Nothobranchius furzeri: one gene and its partners. The protein of the gene in region 5 interacts with the protein of the main gene of each other region in a biochemical or structural test. Links are inferred from orthologs where the notes say so. Each region holds a gene or a part of one and is shown on either strand. Other genes may lie near its edges. The genes, in order: csf3r, dynamin-1, ret, microtubule-associated protein 2, grb2b, GRB2-associated-binding protein 1 and inpp5d.

Region 1 (3,500 bases), on a different chromosome or scaffold from region 5:
AAATGAAGATGTGGCAGGCTAGTCCATTATTTCAAAAACTTCATTTCTGCAACTCAAATTGCTTTTCAGTATCTTGTGTGGCCCCCACGAGCTTGTGTGCATGCTTGACAACGTCGGGGCATGCTCCTAATGAGACAGCGGATGGTGTCTTGTGGCATTTCCTCCCAGATCTGTGTGAGGGCATCCCTGAGCTCTTGTACAGTCTGAGGAGCAACCTGGCGCCGCCTAATGGACCGAAACATATTAAACCTTCTTGCTGCAGCACGTGTGGATGTGCCATCCTGGAGAAGTTGGACAACCTGTGTAACTTCTGTAGGGTTAAGGAATCGCCTCGTACTGCCAGTAGAGAGCCAAAACTAGCACGAGTGGGAAACCAGCCGAAAAAGATCAAGAGGGAGAAACTTGAAGTGACCTCTACATGTTAAACCAGTCCTGTTTTGAGGGTTTTGTAATTGTTGCCACTTTAGTGCACCTGTCGTTAAGTCCATGAACACCAATACAGCTGAAAGTGATTAACAATGCCCTCAGCTGCTTAATCAACCAGGAAATTATCAGACAGGTTTAATGGATTTCACGCCAGGCCCAATAAAAAGTGTTCCTTTAATTCTTGTGAGCAGTGTAGTTTCTCCTCCAAATGGTTAGTAAAGCATTTGAGGATTCTAGTTATTATTATTATTTTTTAGCCCTTTAGGCCTTTTTACTTTCTTGAAAATCAGTTTTTGCAGTTTTGTGTTTTATGTAGCTCCTTTGTTAACTTTCATTACAAAAACAATGCACACCCAACCCATTTACATCACATTTGAGAAACAGAAACATTTCAGAAAGACATTTAAAATATTTATTTGAATGAATATTTTAACAAAAATTATTTAAAATTAATTTTAGAAGAGTTTGATGCATGTTGCAGTCTTCACAACAACTATAGAGATTTGTACTTGTTTAGAAAATGATGACCAGCATTTATTTAAATTAATTCTATATTTTTATAGGTTTTACATTTATGTGTTGATAAAAAAGTGAAGATTTATGTGAACCTGAATAAGATATTTTATAATGGGGGTCTTCCCTTGGACCAGTGGTGTGGCCAGCAATTTTCTAGGCGTGGCCATGCCCCCTCTGACCACCCCTTGGGGGCACCACTGGTGAAAAATAGAAAATCTATTCTAAGTTTTCCCGCTTTTTCCATGTTATTCATTGTGATAAGATATTGACATGCTTTTATTTTTTCATATTTAATATCAAACAAATGTAAATTCTATTTTTAGTAACTTGACTACATAAAATATTATTTTTATTTACAATTCAACAGCAATACATGAAACTGGAACGATAGACGGTAAGATCAGATTTAAAAAAAGGGAATATGAGCTAGATTTTTTTTTCAATTTTGAAAAAGTCCATAAAATTCTATATAAAAACTTTACTTGACCAGTAATTTTCATAAACTCCTACCTGCACCAACTGGCTCCAGGATGATGGGCACTGATGCTGCCTCTCCAAGGTTATTCTCCGCCTTCACGTAGATTTTCATTTCAGAGAACAGAACAAAGTTAGAGCGAGGGATGGTGTAGTGGTGGACTCCTGAAGGTAGCTCATAGGTATAATTCTTGTCTAAGTCCCTGAAATGATCACAATATGTGGGAAACTCAGTTCTACAGCCTAATGAAAATACACTCTCAGTACATGCCACTGTTTTGTAGAATTTACAGTTACCATATCTGAGTGTAGAGGGTGTATTTTGTCGGGAGGTGTGTCTCCTGCAGTCCTGGGTCCCATCTACAGGTGAGGGTGGGGCGATAGGTGAAGTTTGCCTGACAGTTCAGGTTCTGGGGGATTTGTGGTGGATCTAATAGTCAAAATAAGCGCTAAAAAGTAAGTTTTACTGAAAATTTACCCGCACATTGTAACGCAGTCAGTAGCTCTTGTCTAGGTGTAAGCATAGACTGAAATTTGATTATGCAAAGTAGACATATTCTGCAACAAATCCCAAAAATGTTCCCTAACTGACCAGGATGCAGCGATCTGCTAAAACAAGACAATTTGTTTTTTTTTTACAGGTGGATAAAAACATAATAAAATCTGATTATTTTTAATGAATACTTCCATCAAACACGTGAAAGAACTCAAAATGTTCTTACATCCAGCTCGGATCTCAACTCCTGCATAGATTTGAAATGAAGACTCGTTGTCGGGTAAACAAACGCCGCAGGTGAGGACTGCCCTGGTGTGATTGAAGCTAGATACCACAACCTTAGAAACCCTGAACCTCTCATTGGCCACGGGGCTGCTGGGAATAAAGTCAGAGCCAAGACGCCACTCAATCGGAGCAGCTTGTGCGGTGACCAGAAGGCAGTCCTTTCTGATGACGCAGGTGGCGGTGACAGGTGACCCCAGAGGCACAGCCGAGCTCGAGGTGTGGACCTTCGCACATGGCTGGGTGTCGTCCTCTAAAGACGAAATAAAATCAACGGAAGTCAGAGAAATTCTGAATGAAGAAAAGAAAACTTGTCTTTGTAAGGAGTGTTTAGACATTTCCATTTTGATGACTTTCTAAAAGCAGCACTCACCGTCGCTCGCCCCACCGGCAGATGTGACCAGCACGGCCGTCACCAACATCCATGAAGACAACATCATGACAAAACCTGTTGGGCAGCCAAATTGAAGTCCATGCTCTTAAATTTACAAACTTGCATGCTTTTTCTATTAAAAATAGGAGAAACATCTGAACTGCCCTGCTTTTCAAGTGATGAAGGAAAAAATTAGAAAGAAAAGTAACATCAAGTTTGATGTTGTTGCTGTTTTGCTTTGGTCTCCACGACTCTCGATACATCTGTCTTTATTTGTTGCCTCTGAATCAGTTTGTCACGGTGCTTTTGGAGCTCAGAAATGTTCACATTTATGGTTTCTTATGTTTAAAGGTCAACTTCACTTATAGTTTTAATACATTTGCAGTGGTCTCTAGTAGAAATGCATGCCTTGCAAGTCATTCTCTAGGGGAAAAAAAAGCTCCGGTGCACCTGTTTGAGGACGTAGGAGTCAGCAGGAGGGGAAGTTAGCTTCAGACAGCAGTATAGAATCCAATAATGTTAAAGTAGAAATTACATATGATTTTTCAGAAATCCGTAAAAGTGATTGTCTTACCGTGTAAGCAATGCATATTTTTCTTTTCTTTGCTAAGCCTGCACCGCAGAGCTCTGTGCAATAGGAAACTGAGCGCCGACCAGAACTAACCAATGGCGTTAGCTTATGTGCTTCAAATTTAAGGAAGTACCTCAGCTGATGCAGAGTTGATGAACTTTTTACAGACAAGTAAGTCTTTAAAATATAAATATATGAAAATGCAACATGACATGAAGATAATACTTGTGAAATAATGCGTTTCAGCTTTGTTTGTCGGCTATAGAAGCACATAAATAAACAAGAAACGTGAAGTCGCCATCTTAATAAAACGGATCGACAGACGTTTTGTGTGATATGCTTGTCAGCCACTAGATGGTGCC
Region 2 (3,500 bases), on a different chromosome or scaffold from region 5:
TAGATAGATAGATAGATAGATAGACAGACAGACAGACAGACAGACAGACAGATAGATAGATAGATAGATAGATAGATAGATAGATAGATAGATAGATAGATAGATAGATAGATAGATAGATAGATAGATAGATAGATAGATAGATAGATAGATAGATAGATAGATAGATAGATAGATAGATAGATAGATAGATAGATAGATAGATAGATAGATAGATAGATAGACAGATAGATGATAGATAGATGATAGATAGATAGATAGATAGATAGATAGATAGATAGATAGATAGATAGATAGATAGATAGATAGATAGATAGATAGATAGATAGATAGATAGATAGATAGATAGATAGATAGATAGATAGATAGATAGATAGATAGACAGATAGATGATAGATAGATGATAGATAGATAGATAGATAGATAGATAGATAGATAGATAGATAGATAGATAGATAGATAGATAGATAGATAGATAGATAGATAGATAGATAGATAGATAGATAGATAGATAGATAGATAGATAGATAGATAGATAGATAGATAGATAGATAGATAGATAGATAGATAGATAGACAGATAGATGATAGATAGATGATAGATAGATAGATAGATAGATAGATAGATAGATAGATAGATAGATAGATAGATAGATAGATAGATAGATAGATAGATAGATAGATAGATAGATAGATAGATAGATAGATAGATAGATAGATAGATAGATAGATAGATAGATAGATAGATAGATAGATAGATAGATAGATAGATAGACAGATAGATAGAAGTTCATGGTTGGTTAACAGCAACTTCACCTTTCTCCATTGGGTTGGTGTGTGTGTGTGTGTGTGTGTGTGTGTGTGTGCGTGCGTGTGTGTGTGTGTGTGTGTGTGTGTGTGTGTGTGTGTGTGCGTGTGTGTGTATGGGTGGGGGGGGGGGGTACCTTCTGTGTACACTGCCTGACGGTGTTGACCAGCTCGGTGATCACCAGGTCTACACACTTCTGACACGGCTCTTTGAGTTGAGCGATCTGACGCTTCACAATCGTCTCGAATGCCATGTCAGGTGTGAACAGACCCGTCCTGGGTGGACACAGGCGACACCACACAGGTGAGACCAGATCGGTGAGTATTCTAACCTAAGTAGCCGACAGTCGCTTTGCCCACCTGATTCCATGGATGTTCTTGATGGCGTAGCTGATTTCCTTTCGTAGAGTCTTCTCATCACCCTCCAGCTGCCATTGAAACGCATCACCGACAGCGGTTCACTTGGGTCTAATCACCATGGCAACTGCTCTGTGTGTGCATTTACCTTAACCAGTTCAAAGGGGAAGCGCTCGTGGAAGACACGGTTGATCTTTGCTCCTCCTGATAATTCGTATGTGTCCACCTGGTCTCCAGAACCTTCAATCCGCTTCTCAAAGTCCACCGCAAACTGCTGCACCATCCTGACACACACACACACACACATGCCTAAAGTACGGTGTGGTACCGAGTTGTTCTGAGTAGTACTTTGTTATATACCAGTACTGACTGTAACAGGGCTTTGGTCTTGCGGCTTGGGTCATCCGGCCTGAAGTTCTTGTACTCCTCCACCTCCTTCTCAATGGACAACAGCTGGCTCTGTAGTTTGCTTCGTAATCCTGGCAAAGTGTCCCGGATGTGGTTGGTCAGTTGCTATGGAAACAGAGAATTCCTCTGTTACTGTGGCAGCAGGAACGAGGAACGAGCACGGTTTCTGTGGTTTGAGAAGGTTTTTTGGACCAGACAACAAAACAACAGCAACACAACCACGAGGCAGCAAGCAGGGCTGAACTATAGAAGGTGAAACATCAAAAAGGCAACATCTGACTTATCTGCTACTTTAGGTCAGAAATCACCTCAAGAAACATTAGAACTCAGAACCAAACCTTCTAAAAACGATGACACAGCTCCAGAAGCCTCAACCTGAGTCCAAAAGGAACAGGTAAGAGCTGGAATCCGCTAGCTAGGAGTTAGCTTTCAGGACCTCCAGACGAAAATCCACTAGAAGCAGGTGTTCACTGGTGCTGCAGAAGCTTAAATCGTGTTTGATAAAAAGGATGGACCGGTCTTCTCACTTTGAGAAGGACTTTATTGAAGACGGTGTTCCTCTGACATACCTGAATCTTGAACTTAGAGAAGCCAAACTGAATGATCGCAGGACCATGCCAGGATATTCTCAAGACTTTCAGGGCGTTAACCTGCAGATATCTGGACTTCCGTCTGGTTCCAGAGTTTTGCTACTTGGATCCAAAACACTGACGGCAACTCAGAACTAGAAACACTGAAACTAAAGTGGGACAAGTTATGTGTGTCTACCTGGTTGAGGACTTTCTGTAGATAGGCAGTGCCCATTCGATCAGCCAGGTGACGATACGAAGGATGAGACAGGAAGAACTTCCTCTCGGCCTGCAGAGCTGCTGTGATATCTTTTTTTCCATCAATGTCTTTTTGACTTCGATTCACCACGCCAATGTAACCTGACACCACAAAATGTTTCACATTGTTGCTGACAATAAACAACTGACAACCAATGAGCAACTAGCGTTAGCCGTGATGTCATACCTCTGCGTAGCGGCAGAAGTTTGTTTTCCAGAATGTCCCTGGCGTCAGTTCCTTCATCCATCAGGTCCAGCTTGGTGATCACACCGATGGTCCTCAGACCTGCAGCACATTAACAAGCTTTACCACACTGGACCAACGTTAGATGGACATGCACACGACGTAGGTGGATGGTAGAGTCAAGTCTGCAGGTCAATGTGGTCTCAGACCTTGTGGGTCCACCTCCTTAGCAATCTTCAAAGCATCAGAGTTGGCGAGGTCAGAGTTGGCTGGAGAAACAGCCAAGAGGAGACAGTTGTCCTTGGTGACAAACTGCAGGAGCATTTCTTTGATCTGGTGTTCAATGTCAGCTGGCTGATCGCCCACAGGGACCTTCGTCATCCCCGGGAGATCCACAAGAGTCAGGTTTAGCACTGCACAAACACACCGTAGTCAGCACGGACCCTTTCTGTCTGATGTCACTCAGGTGTGGCTCAGGTGACTTACCATTGGGGGAATACACCCTCAGGTTGATGGGGACAGGACTGATTCCTTTGTTATGTCCTGTTGCTCGATCGGTTTCAGCCTCGATCTCCTGACGGACTTCATCAAAGTCGGTAAACTTCTTCCCTTTACAGTGCAGGAACTCTGCGTACTCTGATCAAAAACATCAGAAAAACGTCAGAAGGAACGCGGTTTTGGATCAAAGCAGCCAAAAAGAGTTTTTTCCACAGGGTGTCTTGGCTTTCTCTTAAAGATAGTCAGAAGCTTGAGCATCAGGGAGGGGCTCTGAACAGAGGTGCAACGGGCCAACAGGCAGGGCAGGAAATCGGTTGAGGCCCCAGAGGGTTGACAAACTTTGAACGGTGTAACGGGACGGAAGACTGTGTTTTTCCCCTTCTTTGCTCAAGACTAGTCTGCATGAGATGTAACTCAAGG
Region 3 (4,222 bases), about 62 Mb from region 5:
TGTGTGGAATAAATTAGACCAGGAGCAAAAAGATTGTTCAACAATGGTAAAGTTTAAGGGTATGTTTAAATCAAATGTGATTAAATATTATGAATCAAGTCAATGAAAAAATGCATAAAACATTAAAGGTCTTTTTTTTTTTTATGAAGCTAGAATGGGGATTTGAATATATTCCCATACATTTCAAACATGATGTAAAAATTATGGAATCGGTACGCTATTCTAAAATTTTGTTTAAGTTCAAAGGGTTTGGGGGGCTGGGCTTATAAGCTTATGCTTCTGCCCGCGCCCATTCTTAGCATTGTGTAAGTTGTGTGTTTGCTTGTAAACCTGCAAATGTTTCTTTGTTATATTATATTGCACTATTGATTTTAATTTCTCATTAATTTCTCATTAAACTTCTCTCTCTTCTCTCACACACACACACACACGCATGCATGCACACACACACGCACACACACACACACACATGCGGACACATGCATGCACACGCGTGCGCACACACACAAGCACACACACACACACGCATGCATGCACACACACACACACACACATGCACACGCACACACACATGCGGACACATGCATGCACACGCATGCGCACGCACACACACACAAGCACACGCACACACACACACACACACACACACACACACACACACACACACACACACACACACACACACACACACACACACACACACAAATCTTTGAAAACTCTTGATTAAAAAAATGCTTCAGTTAGTTTTTAAATATAATTTTCAAGTTCTTGCAGTAAAAATACACCAGAAGCACCAAACTGGAATCCTGAAACTAAAACTTGCTCCACTTAACTTATTTTCCCATTAATCATCCACATCAGCGGCACAAATGTCCAAAAAAGGATCAGAACCTGATTATTGTAGCTCTCACACATGAAATAAAAGTCAGGTAAGTTCTATTTTTAATAGATGAAAACAAATTTTATGTTTTTAATGACAAAACATCAACCAGAGCTTCAATAATAATTTTAAAAAGAGTCATTCATTGAAATTGGTTTCAGAATTAAATGCAAAGACCAATCCGAAACTCAAAAATCTGATTTTAAATAAACGTTTTGGTCTGTGAACGCATCATTACCAAGCGTTAGCCTATTAGCGATGACTGATTTTCTATGCAGACATTTTAATTCTGGAATAATTGTTTTAGTTTTCCTGTTATTACTGTTTGAGAGTTTGAGGATCAGAATCAGACAAAATTGGTAATGGCAGGTCAGATCTGTAAAAAAAAAATCGGAAATTGGTTTAAACTCCTCAAAACCAGAATAGGTGCATTTATAACAACAACAACACTTGTAGTACTGATTTCCTCCACCAGATGGTCGAAAACAAAGAGGATTCAAATAAGCCCTTTTTGCAGAAAGTACTGATCCTGTTAAAGACGTAGAGCTCTTATAAATAAGCACAAACATGCTGTTAAACTGTAAAATTTACCATTTTACTAAAGTCTTTGGTAGAAAATGTCTCTTTTAGTGAAATAATCATAATCACTAAAAAGCAGCAGAAGTGATCAATCTAATGGGTCATTTTACAAGAAGTTTGGTTCTGTCCTGCAGTTGGATCACCGTGCGCACTTATATAACAGGGCAGGCAATATTTCCCTGCAGAAAACAAACAGCCAGTGTTTGCCCAGAGATAAGCGCAGCTGCTGCACACCTGCCTGCAGCTCACCTCTCCTTCTCCCTGGAGCAAACGAGGATCTTTTAGAGCAGACAGGTGATGAGTTAGGAAGGCTGAAGGTCTCAGCGCCCCTTTCATCTCCATCACATCAGGAGCAACCACGCGGCTCCAGAGACAAAACAGTCCAAACAGACTGCAGGAATTCAGCTAATTAAATAACTGGAAGAGCTTCTGATACCAAATGGTCTCAATCACATAAAAGCATCAGATTCTTTAAAGTCTCTGATAAAGTTCTGACATTGACCTCTAATAGGACCACAGTGCTTGCTAAGATTTGCAGTCAAGAGTTTAGAGCCACACTTTAAATAGACTTCACGAGAGGACATGTTTGTGCAGTTGGGCTGTGGGATTGGATGGGATTAGAATATTATGGAGCAAGTTCTCCACAACAAAACCACTGGGTCCTAGTTTCAGGTTACTTCCGGGAAAAAAATGCTTTAAAAAAATCACCCAGCTTCCAAAAGGTGTTCAGCTTTAGGTTAGAGTTCAGAAACCTCTTCTCTTGTTTTTGGATCAGTTTGGCACAGGCACTAATTTATGATTCTGCAATAACATAAAAATACGCATTTTTCTCTTGTAACAGGAAAAGTAATGGAAACAGCTGATTGGCTGATTTTATTGTCGCCAAAATCACCTTAAAGGCTAAATTTGGAACTGTTCTGCAGATTTATGGTTAATCATAATTATTTAATTATTAAGAAGTGACGCCTTCCCTTCAGATTTTTAGTCAAACATCAATTCTATAAATATGTGTAGGTTCCTCCGTTGTTTAATTTGTTAAACAGTAAAATGAGGATGAGCTCACCTCCGAGCAGCAGCAGCAGCAGCAGCTGCAGCGCAGCGACGTTTCCCCGACAGAAGCCACAACTTGACTCCATATTAGAAAACCATTAGGGAAAGTTTCTCAATGAAAATCCAGTCGCTCCTGGAAAAGTTCCCCTCAGATGAGCTAAATAAAGAAGGAGTAGCTGTAAAACCGAGAGAAAAGCGCAGAAATGCGTTATTGAAGGTGTGCGTCCTGCGTCCGGGGAGCCCAGCTGGAGTCCGCGTCCCACAGAAGAGCTCCTGCGGCTGCTGAGGGGCTGGCTGACTGGGGGGGGGGGGGGGGGGGGGGGGGGGCAGGAGGAGGGGGAGGAAAAGGGAGGAGGTTTGCTGCTCCACCGCTCTCTGCCCGCTGGTTCCGCAGCAGCAGGTAGGTCAGCATCTACAGGAAATAAGAGCATCATTTATCCTCAGGCCAGTCATCTCATTAACAGCCAGCAGGAGGTGGGGGTGGGTGTGTATTCTAACTAACTACCTCTAAATGTGTGAAGTCTGGATCAACAAAAAACACGAAAACGATGTTTGACTACAGTCAAAGAATCATTTTGATATAACCTTTTAGAAACAAATTTAAAATAAACGCACAGACATTTAAAAACTACAATCTAAATGTGTAACAGTTAACATAACGCATTTAGATGAAGTTAATTGAAATTGTTTAGTAAATTCAGTTTATTGTGAATTCTAAATATTTTTAATCCAATCTACTGTACAGGTATGTATATTAAGCTTAATCTAAAATTTTAAATACAAACATTTAATAATTAAAGTTATAGTGAAATATTTTAATCAAAGACATTTAAAAATGTCAACTCAAATCTGAATATAAGGCCTTAATTTAATTTATCTGTTTGGAATAGAGACTGAAAATATCAAATCTAAATATTTACAATAAAATTTTTAACAAAAAGACCAAACTAAATATACGAAGATAGAGACATTTCTAAACATATAAAGTTATAATTACATATTTAGAACTAAAACAATATATAAACAAAACCCAAATATTTAGAATCCATTCATTTTCATCCGCTTATCCGGAGTCGGGTAGCGGGGGCAGTAGCCTCAGTTGAGAGGCCCAGACTTCCCTCTCCCCAGCTACTTGGGCCAGCTCCTCCGGGGGAATCCCAAGGCGTTACCTGGCCAGGTGAGAGACATAGTCCCTCCAATGTGTCCTGGGTCTACCTTTAGGCCTCCTCCTGGTTGGACATGCAGAAAACCTCACCAGGGAGTCGTCCAGGAGGCATCCTGACCAGATGCCCGAGCCACCTCAACTGGCTCCTCTCGATGTGGAGGAGCAGCGGGTCCAGTGGCGGCGTCATGGGGCGCTATAGCTACCCCTGGATAAGTCATAGCACCCCCATAGCACCCCCAAGTAAATATTATATATTTTTTTACACTTTAATTTTAATTTAATGTGTGGATGTGAAAATATTTAACAAACAAAACAAAAATAATCAGTAAATTATCATATAGATTGTAAAAACTTAAACCAAAACAGGAAATTGATGTTAACCTATGACCTCTTTTTCCACCTGTGAACGAGTGAAATGTAGAGCTAGCGGTAAAATGGGTCGGGTTTTGTTGCCCACATTTCCACGGGTTCAGTCAGAAACGAATGAATCTTTGGAAGCGATCTCAGACCCACAAAAACCTACGGATCTGGATGAAGAGAGTCAACCC
Region 4 (2,604 bases), on a different chromosome or scaffold from region 5:
CCACTAAACGAACACTAGGGGGTGCTAAAAGCAAGCCAAAGCTGCCTGGTCTCTCTTTAAAAGTTTAAAATGTTTTACACTTTTACATTGTCATTGGGGCTAATGGTTATGATTTTTGGGAGACGGCGTGTTGTGTCAGACATGCTTTGATAAAAAAGACAAATATCTGACAGCTTCTATTTATCGATGAAAACAAAAGCATTTGAAATAATCGTGGTGCATTGCAAAGTCTGCCGAAATTGTTGGCATGATAACCGTAAATGAGTCAAACTGTGACACTAGTGAAGATTCACAACTTTAGCTTTTCACCAGTGTGATTGTGTGAATAACTGTTGTGTCGTAAAGTGCCTTTGGGGGTTGTAGGTCTTCAAAAGGTGCAATTTAAATAAAGGTAATTTACCCATATGCAATGTCATCTAACCCTGTTTGACCTGATTGAGTGAGGTACTTGAGAAAGCCGATAACGTTCATAAAAACGAAATAAAATAAACAGAAATGAGTCAGTCTTTATTTTCTTTATTGATGCTGTCATCATCCTGTAAGAGCATTTGTCATCAGAACGTCTCGAATATTGGAAATAGTGCACACACATCTACATGGTCTGTTTTAAATACACTTACACGAGCGGGGGAGGGTGGGTGGTTGGAAAAGAAGAAGCACAGGAAAACATCAGTCAGGACGGGAAAAGGGGGTTCCACAATCGGAAGCATTTTCTTTTGATTGATCCTTTTTAATTGAATTATAAGATCTGCTAGTAGTAGAAAAAAAATCTTTCATTCTTTGTCACTTTTGCTTCTGGCGCCGGTCAAAACCGGCCAATCACAACACAGCTTCTCCGTCACACTGGAATGTTTTCATATAAAGCTTCATACTTCTTACATTTAATTCTAACAGACGTCAGACCCTTTAGTTACTCAAACACACTGTACACTCCAGTCTTAGCAAAATGATAGAAATCACAGGGCTTCTCAGAACGTCACCTTAAGCACGTGAACGCATCCCAGCCATTTACACTCACACTGAAAACTTTAAGACAGTAGATCTAACGTAATCATCATTATTTTGCCACGCCAGCATAACAGCGTTGTGTACCCTCGTAAAGCTACGGCAATAACGACAAAACCCAGAGCTAACAGTAGGTCTGTTCGCAGAAAAGAAACAAAAAATAATCTATTGGAAAGCTAGCTGTTTAGCGCTCGACATTTTTACATTAACTGCAATGGTTATTATAAATGCTAACAAGCCAGAGCAGCCACGGGGAAGGTACAAATCTGTAACACTACGGTAACATTTATATAAAAAGGAAACATAGCAAGAAAACACAATTTAAAACATTGAAGTCCAACAAAGACAGAACAAATCTTAGCAGACATGCCCGTTCGTTTACGTCTTTCCTTAAAATCTTTCGTACATCTGTATCTTTTAAGACAATTAGCTAGAATCGCTTCAGTACCACGAGTGGCCGTGAAGGAGTTCACCTCCGAGTGTGAACCACAAGTGGATTGTTCACACACATTAAACCATTGTACAATCATTGAAACGCATTCTTAGACAATCACAGCCACACAAACCTTCAGGCTAGCAATAAAAACAGAGTATTTGAGTGAAGGAATGAAATAACAAAACTGTTTCCCTTTTTTTGTGAGAGGAGTGAAATATTTCGCAGTTTTTTTAAACTTGAACAAGACGGTTCATCAACTACAGCTGTAGGGGTCACTTGTGTTCAACTGAAGGGTCATGAGGAATTCACCGGATGCTTCATAGCGAGTGGCGAAGGTAGGGGGAGAAGAGTGGTGGTGTGATTCTTTTTTTTTTTCTGTACTAGCAGCTCATAAGCCCTGCTTGGCCAGGGCGGCGGTGACGTCCTGCGCCAGCGTGGACAGCTGAGGCGAATCCATCATGTTCATGCCGTCGGCAGAGGACAGGCGAGGAGAGGTGCCCCCGGTCTCAACGCCCGGGGAGTGGGTGACTATGATTTCTGCGCCGTGATCCACGCGCGCTTTGGCCGTTTCACGGAAACTCAGCTTATGGCTCTCGATCTGATGAATATGAATAAACAATTTTATTTATTAAAGAGTCAGGCAGATTCATCTGAACTTTCAAAAATGTTTCATCACCATGATATTCCCTCCTCCGGGAGTGTGGCTGGCATTATCCATGGAGCCGACCTTAGCGTGGGCCTTGTCTTTGAAATCCAGCTTCACATTCTCAATACGCACATTACCCCCCCCTGGGAACACAACAGCAAAAGGAAGTTAAAAAAAACCCAGAGCATTATCACTGGCAGGCCTGGACTACTCCTAGGCGTTATTAACGAGCCCCCGCACCGTGAGAACAAACACACACACACATATATAAATATATATATATCAGACGTCAAGCTAAACAGACAGGGTTAAAAAATATGGTCGACCTTCTTCCCCATCACTTTCATTTTTTAAGTAGTAATTAATAAACATTCCATACCATTACAATTTCCTTTGATTTAATTTTAAATAAATATTTTAAATAAATATTTAGAGTGCCCAGGTAGCACATAAACAATGAAATTGAACGGTTTTCTTAAAGCAGGAATGTTTAACCTGTGGCCAGAGCTCTCTCCTT
Region 5 (4,048 bases):
AGTTTATCTGCAAAATCAATCACAGTATAACCAATAACTACAGTAACGTTGCAGAGAGTTTCTTCACAGCAAAAGTTATGGAGGGATACAGATTTTATCAGGCTGTGTGGCCTCGGCTGCCAAAATGTGTGCCCCCCCCCCATCAATAATGCATTTCATCAGGCCACACAGCCTGATAAAATCTGTATCCCTCCATAACTTTTGCTGTGAAGAAGAAATCATCTTCAAAGTTACTGTACTTATTGCTTATATCGTGACTTATTTAGCAAATAAACGATTTCGTGATAACAACGCCAACAAAAACAAAGTGTAAACCGAGAGTAAATTCACCGGAGAGCGACGTCAGGGTAGCTGCAGATTTAAGGGAGCCAAATTTAAGACTTTTTAAGACCTTTTTTAAGGCCACTTTGACCAAATTTAAGCTATTTTAAAAATTAAATTTAAGCGATAATTTCCAGCTCTTGCCTGGAGCCGGTGCTAACCACGTCGCGAACGTGGGATTAGCCATCCAGTTACCATTAAACTTGCCCTTCCCCATGGCGCAAGCTCCCACCAGCTTAACCAGCTAATGTGCTCATCTAAAAATAGCCCCCTTTCACAACCAACTGACTGCGTACGGTTCCGCTTACGGCAACATCGTACACAAAAAATGCTGAACACTAACTAGAGATTCACGAAATTTTTATAGAAATAAAAGAATCTTGTTTATTGGGTCTTTGGTCATTTAAGACCTTTGGAAACTGGATTTAAGGATTATTTGTAATTTTTAAGGACTTTTAAGGCCTTAAATTAGGAAAAGCTAATTTAAGACTTTCTAAGACTTTTTAAGGACCCGCGGATACCCTGTACGTGTTTCCATGGTCACGTCTGGTTTTACAGTATTATAGTATCAAAGTGTTTTTCTATACAAAGTATTCCCAACGGAGCTGGGCTAGTGCCTCCTCCTACTTTGCGCGCTCCCGTGAATGGGGAAACAATTTTTGACGGGGGTAACTACTTTGGCGCAACACCGGCAGCAACTTCGGGGACAAATTTTCAAGTTTAAAAGTAAGTCAGCTAATTTAAAATGTTTTTTTTTTATATCCAAAGAAGTTATCTATGGTTGGTTAGTTGCTTAGTAGTTGCAGCTTCGGTGGCTAGCGGGTAGTAACTCACTTATATTTTTAATTTAATAAACATATACACAATTTAAAAAGTAAAAGACTCGTTAGATATTTATATTGAAACTAATACGTAGAAAATATAACGTTATCTCCCGTGTCATGTGATGCAAGTCTGTTCCATTTAACCGTTTTCTTTGACCAAGGAAGGACAGTGTCCTCGTAAGCAAGGCGCCTTGACACTGAGAACCACCCTGTATGTCTGCAAAGGGAAAAGGCGATGGCACACACATGTAATGGTTTCTGAGGCCAAAACAGAAATTATAATACAACTCTGGTTAAATGCAAAGCCCTCCGAAAAACAGAAATGAGGGGAAAAAAAAAACCCATCAGCACCACTAACCACTTCTACAGCAAGTTTTTCAAATATTTACATTCACAGGAAAATTGTTTATGATTTCTGCTTCATCAGACTGCGCTTTTAACACTTAGGGGGAACATCTATTCATAGCAGTTAGTTAATATTAATGGAGAACATATGGGTTTGGTCCAAGGGTCAGGCCACAATCTGATAATCCCAACAAACCTTTGAGAACAACAACCAGAGATAAGTGGGTTAACGCAGACAGCTCGAAACCTTTTGCTGCAGGGTTGAACTGATAGTCGCCTTATCCAATTAGCTCGTTTGCTAACAGGTGATGGGGACAGAACTGATGAGCTCACACCCACACAGCTCTACCAAATAAGGCCGTTAAACGTGGACAGCTAGCCAGATGCTGGCAGAGGACTAATAATAATAATCATAACAAACAAGCGTGTTGCAATTCTGCAAGACGCATAAAAATACAAGGCATAAGTTAGTGATGGTAGATAGTTTACTAGTTAGTAATAACGGCATTACGTGGGACACTAACGGTGTTATGAAGGAGGTTTTTTGTCACATAACGAGTTGTTGTATCTGAGGAAGTCGAGCCCTGACTGATAAAAGGCTGCTGAACACAAAGGATCACACAAGCACATTAGCGGTGTCATTAAACATCAGGTCATGAAAATGGATGATGAGACGGAGGTGCGACAGAAAAACAGCTGCCAGTTGCCCAAATGTCTCACCTTCGCGTCGTTTCCCAACTTTAAACACAAAACCCAAGCCCGCACGTCGCGTTAGTGGCGATGCCGCCACCAGAACCCGTCTAAAACCGCTTCCCGTGTAAAGGGATCGAATCGGTTCCAGAGAGTAGACTGCGCCCACTGTTCTAGAACGTTAGCACCCCGGCTAACGTTCGGTCAACAATAACTGCGATGCAGTGTGATGATCAAACTTATCGAACGGACTACATTAGATAGAACAGCAGAAGGCGACGTTTAGAGGGGGTTGTAAAAGATTAGTGATGATTAAAGCCCGATAGAAAGCCTCATGATGGGAAACGGGAAAAAGGAAGAAAACACCTTTTTTCTTAGCGCAAGCTGTTGTTGCTAGCTTACAGCTGCTATCGTGAACTTGACTCTGTGAGAAAACACTTTATTGTACACCACATTTATGCGAAACGGTAACGGCGTCTTACCGCTTGCGACGATCGGTTGGGAAGAATCCACCGTAGGGAACAAAACGTTACCGTGTTGTTTAGCTCTCCCTGCTCCCCATAAGAGACAACCAACAGTGTGTAGCGTCGCTCACAGCCCGTCCTAGGAGCCCGAAGCTAGCTGGTAGCAGAGCGTTTATTTCCGCTTCCTTCTGCCGAGCTGGTGCTCTTCAGACCCGAGCTCCTCCCAACAGTCCATGTCAACCCAGCCACCTCTGTTACCGTTTCATCCACAGCCAGGACACTTTTAAACAGACTGGAAAAACGTTGATATGTGATTATAGGGACTTTATCTGGTGACCCGAATCAGTTCAGACTGAAACTTATGGTGTTAAAAGTGAAATTTGTCCAAAACCTAAAAATAAAGTACCTCTCTGCCAGATTAAAAAAACTGCAGTAAGGGATTAGGCAAACAGACGATAATGTTTGATACGCCAGTCTACAACCAACTGAGTGGTTCACTATTTAGCACATCTGCTTTCAATTTTTGTTTTACGGGAGAGATCAAATGCTTTTAAAAGGCTGCCCCCTAGTGGGAAGATACCATCATGACAACAGCACTGGATTGAGCACAGCTGCCTGCTGTCTGTCGCTGGTGTAGCATCGGGCCGCCATATTGGATGGGTCTCCATTCGCCCCGCTACATTAATTTCTACTGAGGAAGATACTTACTCTCAACAAACAAACAAAAAAACCCCACATTTTATCAAGTTTTGTTTCCACAAAATCAGACATATGGTAAGGCATGACCATTAAAACATAAATATAATTAAACAAAAAAAATTACTATATAAAATACCATCAGGTAGGCTAGAAAAGTCAATAGTAACCACATGATCTGTTTACAATTGTCGCTGGTTGTTGCAAATGAAGGCCGCACAAAACCAGGCATAGTTGCCCACTCTGCATTGACTTCAGTTGGGTTTGGAGAGCGAGGAACCTTTCCAATATGGCAACAATGTTTTTACGCCCTCCAGCACCCAATGGGGCGTCTTTTTCAAACTTCTAGAATAAGGCTCTCACACTTTCATGTTTTTATGTTAGTTACAAACGTTAGTGTTTGTTATTATATTTCTGTGGTAAAAGATGATTCAACACGTTTAGATACTGATAGGACGTTTGCCCTGTTTGTTGTATAAAAAATGTGTTCAGTAAAAAAAACCAATGTGGCATCTACAGATTCATGTCTATGGGATTGAAGGTCTAGTGGAAGAGCAACCACCCATGTGGTAGGAAGTGTGAAATGAAAATTCATGTAAAATATTGGAACAAAACATTTAATTGCAATTTAAAGAGATGTTTCTGTCTTTATTAGTCCTCATTTTATTTTTTTTCATATTGTTTTTACGTTGTTCATTCATCATGTGT
Region 6 (4,143 bases), on a different chromosome or scaffold from region 5:
AAAATTAGCCTGCTGGCTAACACTGGCACATTTACAGTAACGTATATTAATGTGCACGGTCCTTAAATAAATAAATGAAATGAAATAATCAGGGCTGCATGGTGGCGCAGTGGTTAGCACTGTTGCCTCGCAGCACGAAGGTTGCAGGTTCGAAACTCGGCTGTGGCCTTTCTGTGTGGAGTTGGGTGTTCTCCCCATGCATGCGTGGGTTTCCTCCGGGTACTCCGGTTTCCCCCACAGATCACAACATGCCCTATAGGTTATACATTGTAAGTCGCTTTGGATAAAAGCGTCGGCCAAATAAATAAACATAAACATAAGGCGTTACCCCCCCACCCCACAACCCCCCACCCTCCCTGAGATGTTAGGAATAACAAGGGTGATGTTTTAAGTAGATCCTGATTCTAATCAACAGGATCAAATATTAGCGTTCTCCGTGCTTTCTCCGCCTGTTTCCATGAACATGTCTGACTTTAATATTCATGCATAAAAAATAGTAATTTGGTTAAAAAATAAAAACACTGTTGAGACTGGAGAGGTTTGATGACAGATGAGTTTTGATCCGAGCAACATCAGCAAACCACATAAAACTTTATTTCTAACCACTAAACTGAACCAGAGAATAAAAAAAGTTTAAAAAGCGCTTTTTAAAAATTATTCTGTGAAGAAGTGTTCTATTTTTGATTTAATCATGTGAAGGCGACATATTAGTAATAATAGAGATAAGTTATTTTCCTGCAGCGATCTCCTCTGGTTTCCTGATGTTTGCTCCTTTGACCTTTGACCTCAGCCGGAAGCAGCTACAATAGAGTTAAAATATCTCTTCCCTTTTCCTGCCTCCAAACTAAAATTACCCCCAAAAGAAACATCTCCTTATTTAGATGAACCCTCTACATGTCGATTCTCTCTCACCAACTTTAGAGCCGAGTCCATGAAACCTCAGACGTGACGTCGCCATCAGACTCTCAGAGGGTGGCTGTGGCTCACTCATTTATCGATCCCGAAAGTCATGGAGAACTTTTAATGGTTCCATCACAGGATGAAGAATAAAACTCAACAATGTGAAATCAGACTTGTTTACATTTGAAAACAAGTTTCAGGTCAGCTTCCCTCCCGTCAGACTGTCATAAACGCATCTGTGACGCGTACACCCGCTGACGTCAGCGACGTCACGTTTACGCTCTCTCCGCGTTTCCAGATGCCCTAAAAGCTTCCAGGCAGGCCCAGCTGAGAGCGATTAGTTTATTACGCAACACACACTCTCTCACACCCGAACGCACTTTCTCCTACACACACACACACACACACACTGCTTTCGACAGAGCAGGGAGGTTAAGAGGAGGTAGGCTGCAGCAGGAACTTCATCCACATTCTTTACAGGAACACGTGGAGGCTGCTGCAGCCTTTAGGGCCGCTCGAGTCTGGTTTTATGGTGTTGACAATGGAAACATAGCTGTGTGTGTGTGTGTGTGTGCTAGATTGTACATGCGAGGACTAAATCTTTTTTATGATGTCTTCCTCTTTGGTTTCCCCTGCTGACCGCCTGTCCTGTCCAGTGGTTCCCTCCTAAAAACCTTTTCCTGCAAACATCTCTGAAACCAGCTGATTCGTTAGAAGCATGCTGGGATGTCCCATATCTGAGCTCGTTTTCTCTGAACTGAAGGTTTCAAACAGCAACGCTACTAAAAATAGATCCCTCTTGCTCTGATTTAGTCCTCCTTTACTTTCCGTACAAACAGAGAAAGGAAGGCATGTGACCAAAGGAGAGGAAGAGAGAGTACAACAAATGAAAGAGAAAGAGTGATGGAAGAGTAGACCGCAGACATTGTTCTGCTTCTCCCTGCAAACGGGAGGAAATATGGAGGAGAGATGAGATTAGGTCAAGTCACGGGGAAGGCATGTCAGAAATGTGGTGTGTGTGTGTGTGTGTGTGTGTGTGTGTGTGTGTCCGATCCAGCTCTCTGGCATCAGGTGTTGGAGATTTGAATTTAAAGATGCAGAATGAACTTTGTGTCGTTTCCACTAACCGTTGAGTTAACTGTTAAAGATTTACAGTAGGAAATGGAAACCTGGTGCTGTGGATCCAGATTTAACAGTTTGGTTTATTATCAGCAGACAAAAGTTAGATGAGAACGTTTCTGGGTCTCAGCTCAGCGGCTGCTCTCTGCTGGACGTGTTTATTGTTTTACAGTCATGGCTTTAGGAAATGACTCACGTCCACGGTGACAGCACACCGATGATGATTAAAGTTAAGAAAAAATACTCAGATGAGCATCCATCAACACCAGTCCAGTGCCGGTGGAGTGTGTTTAATCTAGTTAGAAATAAAGAAATAGATGAGTTTTTGAAACTGAGAGGACTCACGTATCTCCGTAGCTTCTTCTCTGGTGGGGATTTCCTCAGCCATCCTTCACACACCACATCTGCCGCTCCGCTCATCCTGATGTTTCTGGTTAGTCAGTCACCCTGTCAACAGCCGGTCGGGAGTCAGATCAGGTGAAGATCCCGTCTGAATCCACAGACTCAACCAGCAGAACCTCGCACCAGACTCCAGCCGGCAGGAGTTTGAATCAGAAGAACCCAAAACAACTCAGGACCTCAGATCAGCTCTGTCCTCACACACGTTTCCCTGGCTGAGAAGAATCCTGTTTGGGAGGAGCTCATCCACACACACACCAGAGCTGCTCCGCGTCTGCTGACTAACGCAGTCACACCTCCTCCTGAGAGACTTATTTCCCAACAGAATCACTCCTCCCTCCATAACCAAACACAATCCCTCAGCTCAGACATTCCTTCTCTCCTCTCCTCCCTCTCTTTGGCTCCTCCCCTTCCTGCTCACTCCCCCTATTCTGTTAGACAGGAAAAAAATCCCCCCCCCCCCCATGTGTGAGGAATGGTTTTCAAACAAAACTTTCAGTAACCGTCGCCAGTTTTCAGGTCTTCTGATGCAAAAAACTAAATCCCGAGTTATGAGAACGGACATTTTTCAATGTTTTTACTAAATTTTTCTGAGAACTGTCGAAACCCCCTTGATGATCGATTGTATGTTAAAATAAGTTTTCAATACAACAAATATCAGGCATCATTTTGTAATATTATACCAATATTTACCACAGCCACCACTCTGTGATAATTACTATTAAATGATTACATTTCATAAATAAACTATAATGTTTTTTTCTTCCACATCATTCATCAGCGTTCCCCTGAGCTTTACACTCACACACACTGAACCGTTTTTATTACCAAACTCATAACGTTCATGCACAAGCGCCTCTGCTGTTCTGCCCTTAAAACAGACGCAGGTTTAGTCGTGAATCTCTGGAGCTGCGCACTTACCATACCGACTGGTTTGTGGACTGCTGCTCCACATGGGAAGACAAAACAATAGAACTAATGACAAGGAGGCGAACGGGGGGTGACTCTGGGGGAATGCCCACCCTCTGGAGAACACCCTGCATTGCTCCAGTGCCCAAAAATAACCGGGCACGTGAGCCAAATGACTTCCAAGTAGAGGCGCTCGCATCACACCTAAGGGTGACCAGATCCCAACTTGGCACACGTGGGACAGAGACAACTCAAATATGGGACAACGTTAAGCTCCACTTTAATGAGAAAAAACAAACACACAAAACGTATATTCTGCCTTTTAGCCCTAACATCACTGTTACATATACATACAATGATTATTCTTATTATTAAATATTTCTTGTATATATTTCATTTGAATTCAACATGAAGAAGCATACAGCAAAAGCTTTACTATTTCACTGTTCCCCTCAAGTTACCACATTACTCAGTAGTGGCTCTGATCATTTTAATAACATAGATCGGCCCACAATAATAAAAAAATGCAGGTTTAAGCAGCTTTTCAGAGTTTTCATTGAATGTTTTCCACAACAGAATGACAGTAAAAGTACCCGTAATATTTTTTAGATCTTTTTATGTTTGTTTTAATTAATTTTCCACTAACATCAGCATCTCATTAAAAAAAATATCCATACTTTTTTGCCATTTTTTTCTTAATTCAGAAACAAAACGTTTTTTTAAACATGACAACAAATCTCTTCTAGATTTTAGGTGAGATAATAAACATCAAATTCTAATCTGTAAAAAGTCAGATCTAATCTGCAGGGAGTGCAG
Region 7 (3,500 bases), on a different chromosome or scaffold from region 5:
ATGTGCTGAAGTGCTTTTATCTTGAAACTTTTAAATAGAGCAATGTAATGTATGGATAGTAACCTAAACAGTGTCATTGTAAAGCCAAAGCTTGATCAGTTTAAATACTATTTTCCAAGTAAAATGTGCCCCAAACTAGTTAACTGTGGCTCCATGTCAAGTGGACCAAAGAAAGGAAGGGGGAAAAAATCAAATCGCTGGAGAATTGTTTATTTCCATTTATACAGCGTTTACATTCAATACAGGGCGCCATTTTACATTGTTTATTTATTTTTTAGTATCAAGGCTGTAACATAAAGAAAGCCAGTTCTTACCACAAACCATCTTTCAATCGCAAATATTGCAAAAAGGATTAATTTATCCTCATTGCGAACGTTTAAGACAAATAGCAACACTTAAAACAACTTTCCAACTGGAAAAAACTAATATCTGTGATAAACATCTGTTTAAGTACCGGACGAGATTATCTCTGCTTTCTCAATGTCCATATTGCTAGATATGCCGAGTTTTAAGGCCAAATCCCAGGGAATTTCATCTAAAAATGCAATTACCCTAACCATGCACGATCCCGTGGTGGCTAATCATTTTTTGGCAGCCAGTCGCTTTTTGGCACAACACCACCACAGCTGTGATGGGACCTACGGGCCACCGTAGAGGTGAAGGCTAGACTGTCCGACTTCAGAACCGCTGGGTTCCTGTCTTAGCACAGGCGAGGACCCGTACTCATAAGCATCCTGCCCGTGGATTCGGACACACCCACAGAGAGCAGAGCCTGTCTCGGCTAGGAGAAGCTAACTGTTAGCATTAGCAACTCCACTACAATACAGAACACATTTACGCTTGTTTTGTTTGTGGAGATAAAACATAAACGTTGCAGAGCAAACAGCGACAGTCAAAGTACCTCTGTTAGCCACTCTGATGAAGACAACAATGTCAAAACGTTAGTTTCTTTTTATTTGCACCTATTAAATATTTAATCTGACCCGAATACTCCAGCCTCCTTTTTCTATTCCTCAGTTGCTAGTTCCAGCTGTTGAGCACCAGCACTCATTAATTTTTTCCCCTGTTAGCCAATCAGTGGCGAGATGTTTGCGTATCATAAATGCTGAACTCCAAATCCTGCCATTTTCCTCCCCTCACTCCCAAACACAAAGAGGACCTCCTGAAATAGGAGCGCCAGAGCTTTTTTTTTTTTTACCCTGAAAGCAACTCACAAGGCATTTATTCAAAGAGACCACATCAAGTGTATTGAAATGAGCATACAATGTTTCAGGTATATAATACACCACTACTTTCTTTTATATAATAACTATTGTCTAAAATTTACCTCATGAATTATACATGTTTTAAGGATTCTCATGGGGGCTTCCTAAATAAGGCTGTGCCCTTTCAACTCTATTTGTGTCTAAATTATTCTAACTTCTGTATCTTGTTTACTCAAAGAAACCCAAGTCAACTAACTGTCTGTTCACTAACTCAACCGCTGACATCTAAAACCTTCACATATCATTACAGGAAGTTGCCACTGAAAAATGATGACATGTAATTTCGTAACAAATTCCTGAAACTGTCACAAACATGTGACATTAAATTTTTCTCAGTCTATACTAGCAGTTTAAGAATGAATATTTCTGCTTTGATCTGCTCTGCAGGCTTCTGATGGCGTTCCTATCAGGTTCTTCACCATGCTGCCTGAGCTGGTGGAGGCTTATCAAAGCCCCAACATGGGTCTGGTCACGCATCTACAGTACTCCGTCCAGAGGGAGGTGGAGCTGGATGAAGAGCAAGGTCAGAAACCTCCTCTGTATTTATCTATGCAGCAGTTAATAAATGTTACTGCAGCTTAAATAAGCACAAAACATAAAGAAATGTGTTTTAATATAATTGATTTCATTCAATAGAATTGCATTTTTTTTGTATTTTATTTTTGTTTCTTGGTAATGAATCATATTCAATAAACTTTACTATGAGTTAGTTAAAGGTGTATCTAATTCTACTCTAATTTCCCTCTGGGGTTAATAAAGTATCTTTGATTTGATTTGATCTAGTCAGGTCAGGACAGTATTAGCAACCCATTTTTCTCCTACATTTTCTACGTAGCAGATACTTTGACTCATCGTAGCACTGGAGTCGTAAATGATCTTAAAGATGGCCAAGTCAATTTTAGAGGAAAGAGAATGACTTCACAAACCTTCATGTGGCATAAAGCAGTACCAAGAAGCATTGTTAATAAAAGACATCAAACTGTATGCATTTTGAAGCTTTTTGTGCTCTTTATATTACAGAAACTTCCAACCATCCACCACAGCTCCCCCCCAGGAACTTCACCTCAGAAAGTGAATCCAAGACCAGCGAGCAGGCCAGCAAGTCCCTATCAGACACGTACCTCATGAGGCTGCAGTACATGGACCTGTCTGTGTACGGTCACATTTAAGAAAATTACTGAGCATGCAGCACTATCAGAAACATGGAGTTGTGGTTATTTTCCATTGACTTTGCAGGTTCATGACATTAATTTTCGTCTGTTGTGTTTTACCTCCAGACTGTCCGAGGAACATCAAACGGCCATCCAAGAATACTTCAGGACTGCAATCTGCGTAGATGCTGAGCAAGTCCAGAACGGCAACCCTAACCTCCCTGGCCTCAAGAGGCTAATCCAGGCAGTGTGTAAAAATCTAAACAGGTGCATCATCCAGTCAAAAGAACATCCAATATTGTTTTGGCGACTCTGTTCGTCTAACCACAACGATATCCCTTTTTTTGAGACAGTGAAATTTCCAGAATCCTGCCAACTCTGGAGATGCTCCACAGAGCAATGGACCAGCAGCTCTCCCCTGGGATTGGACCAAGACATGTGGGTGTCCTTCATCCATAGAGTTGTTGTCACCACACACAAACATGTTTGCCTCATCCGGTGTCACGTCCTCATTTTCCAGATTTTAACAGATTCAGGACAGAGTGTGTCCTATCGGCTCGAGCAACTCACTAAACTGCTCTACTCAATAGAAGATAAGGTACAGTCCAGCATTTTCTGCTCCCCTGTTTTCAGACACACCAACAGCACATGTTGCTTGTGGATGAAAAAAAGACTTCTCTGTTCCTGTTCCAGGCTAAAGGTTCTGTTTTTGAGTCGGTTGGATATGACGGAGGCCACAGAAACTCTCTCATACCAGTTGCGTCCTTTGAGGTGCTTCCCATTGCTTTTACGTTGTGACACAAATAAAACGAGACGCAGTAAAACACCTGGAGGTTTGTGGTTTATGCCTCCTGGTTTCTTTTGGCTTGCAGGTCAAACAAGAATCTCTCGGTATTTCTACAAAAATGGTTCTGAAGGTGGACGTTGAAAGTGGGAAACTCTACTTTAAGAAGTCAAAAGATGGACCTGAAGACAAATACTTTGTACACAATAAGAGTGAGTAATCTTTGACTTTATTCATTAGCATGGTTTTGTTGTCAGCTTGGGTCAGATGATGGTCAGCTTAAGCTAAAAACACTATTTT

What was found.
Region 1: the proteins of grb2b (region 5) and csf3r form a complex in vitro, tested with the Homo sapiens proteins (2 studies listed by BioGRID, with this or other methods). The link is inferred for Nothobranchius furzeri from reciprocal best matches to the Homo sapiens genes GRB2 and CSF3R.
Region 2: the proteins of grb2b (region 5) and dynamin-1 form a complex in vitro, tested with the Homo sapiens proteins (5 studies listed by BioGRID and IntAct, with this or other methods). The link is inferred for Nothobranchius furzeri from reciprocal best matches to the Homo sapiens genes GRB2 and DNM1.
Region 3: the proteins of grb2b (region 5) and ret form a complex in vitro, tested with the Homo sapiens proteins (3 studies listed by BioGRID). The link is inferred for Nothobranchius furzeri from reciprocal best matches to the Homo sapiens genes GRB2 and RET.
Region 4: the proteins of grb2b (region 5) and microtubule-associated protein 2 form a complex in vitro, tested with the Homo sapiens proteins (3 studies listed by BioGRID and IntAct). The link is inferred for Nothobranchius furzeri from reciprocal best matches to the Homo sapiens genes GRB2 and MAP2.
Region 6: the proteins of grb2b (region 5) and GRB2-associated-binding protein 1 form a complex in vitro, tested with the Homo sapiens proteins (5 studies listed by BioGRID and IntAct, with this or other methods). The link is inferred for Nothobranchius furzeri from reciprocal best matches to the Homo sapiens genes GRB2 and GAB1.
Region 7: the proteins of grb2b (region 5) and inpp5d interact in a test that uses a peptide from one of them, tested with the Homo sapiens proteins (2 studies listed by BioGRID). The link is inferred for Nothobranchius furzeri from reciprocal best matches to the Homo sapiens genes GRB2 and INPP5D.

Annotation. Positions count from the first base shown.
Region 1 is NC_091745.1:71,081,511-71,085,010, forward strand, and holds part of csf3r (granulocyte colony-stimulating factor receptor), read right to left. Parts: intron 2,643-3,500; 5' UTR 2,635-2,642; coding exon 2,568-2,634; intron 2,448-2,567; coding exon 2,139-2,447; intron 1,847-2,138; coding exon 1,714-1,846; intron 1,620-1,713; coding exon 1,453-1,619; intron 1-1,452. UniProt on the Homo sapiens protein: Receptor for granulocyte colony-stimulating factor (CSF3), essential for granulocytic maturation. Plays a crucial role in the proliferation, differentiation and survival of cells along the neutrophilic lineage.
Region 2 is NC_091750.1:35,487,615-35,491,114, forward strand, and holds part of dynamin-1, read right to left. Parts: intron 3,219-3,500; coding exon 3,069-3,218; intron 2,996-3,068; coding exon 2,792-2,995; intron 2,685-2,791; coding exon 2,586-2,684; intron 2,501-2,585; coding exon 2,340-2,500; intron 1,677-2,339; coding exon 1,534-1,676; intron 1,448-1,533; coding exon 1,312-1,447; intron 1,235-1,311; coding exon 1,167-1,234; intron 1,083-1,166; coding exon 944-1,082; intron 1-943. UniProt on the Homo sapiens protein: Catalyzes the hydrolysis of GTP and utilizes this energy to mediate vesicle scission and participates in many forms of endocytosis, such as clathrin-mediated endocytosis or synaptic vesicle endocytosis as well as rapid endocytosis (RE).
Region 3 is NC_091752.1:5,725,373-5,729,594, forward strand, and holds the start of ret (proto-oncogene tyrosine-protein kinase receptor Ret), read right to left. Parts: upstream 2,801-4,222; 5' UTR 2,596-2,800; coding exon 2,523-2,595; intron 1-2,522. UniProt on the Homo sapiens protein: Receptor tyrosine-protein kinase involved in numerous cellular mechanisms including cell proliferation, neuronal navigation, cell migration, and cell differentiation in response to glia cell line-derived growth family factors (GDNF, NRTN, ARTN, PSPN and GDF15).
Region 4 is NC_091742.1:61,535,030-61,537,633, forward strand, and holds the end of microtubule-associated protein 2, read right to left. Parts: intron 2,231-2,604; coding exon 2,118-2,230; intron 2,040-2,117; coding exon 1,830-2,039; 3' UTR 501-1,829; downstream 1-500. UniProt on the Homo sapiens protein: The exact function of MAP2 is unknown but MAPs may stabilize the microtubules against depolymerization. They also seem to have a stiffening effect on microtubules.
Region 5 is NC_091752.1:67,730,130-67,734,177, forward strand, and holds the start of grb2b (growth factor receptor-bound protein 2b), read right to left. Parts: upstream 2,801-4,048; 5' UTR 2,663-2,800; intron 1-2,662. UniProt on the Homo sapiens protein: Non-enzymatic adapter protein that plays a pivotal role in precisely regulated signaling cascades from cell surface receptors to cellular responses, including signaling transduction and gene expression.
Region 6 is NC_091742.1:87,973,461-87,977,603, reverse strand, and holds the start of GRB2-associated-binding protein 1, read right to left. Parts: upstream 2,801-4,143; 5' UTR 2,440-2,800; coding exon 2,365-2,439; intron 2,334-2,364; exon of another isoform or gene 934-2,333; coding exon of another isoform or gene 913-933; intron 1-912. UniProt on the Homo sapiens protein: Adapter protein that plays a role in intracellular signaling cascades triggered by activated receptor-type kinases. Plays a role in FGFR1 signaling. Probably involved in signaling by the epidermal growth factor receptor (EGFR) and the insulin receptor (INSR).
Region 7 is NC_091756.1:60,966,763-60,970,262, forward strand, and holds part of inpp5d (phosphatidylinositol 3,4,5-trisphosphate 5-phosphatase 1), read left to right. Parts: intron 1-1,652; coding exon 1,653-1,788; intron 1,789-2,285; coding exon 2,286-2,418; intron 2,419-2,542; coding exon 2,543-2,683; intron 2,684-2,769; coding exon 2,770-2,854; intron 2,855-2,936; coding exon 2,937-3,014; intron 3,015-3,109; coding exon 3,110-3,187; intron 3,188-3,288; coding exon 3,289-3,412; intron 3,413-3,500. UniProt on the Homo sapiens protein: Phosphatidylinositol (PtdIns) phosphatase that specifically hydrolyzes the 5-phosphate of phosphatidylinositol-3,4,5-trisphosphate (PtdIns(3,4,5)P3) to produce PtdIns(3,4)P2, thereby negatively regulating the PI3K (phosphoinositide 3-kinase) pathways.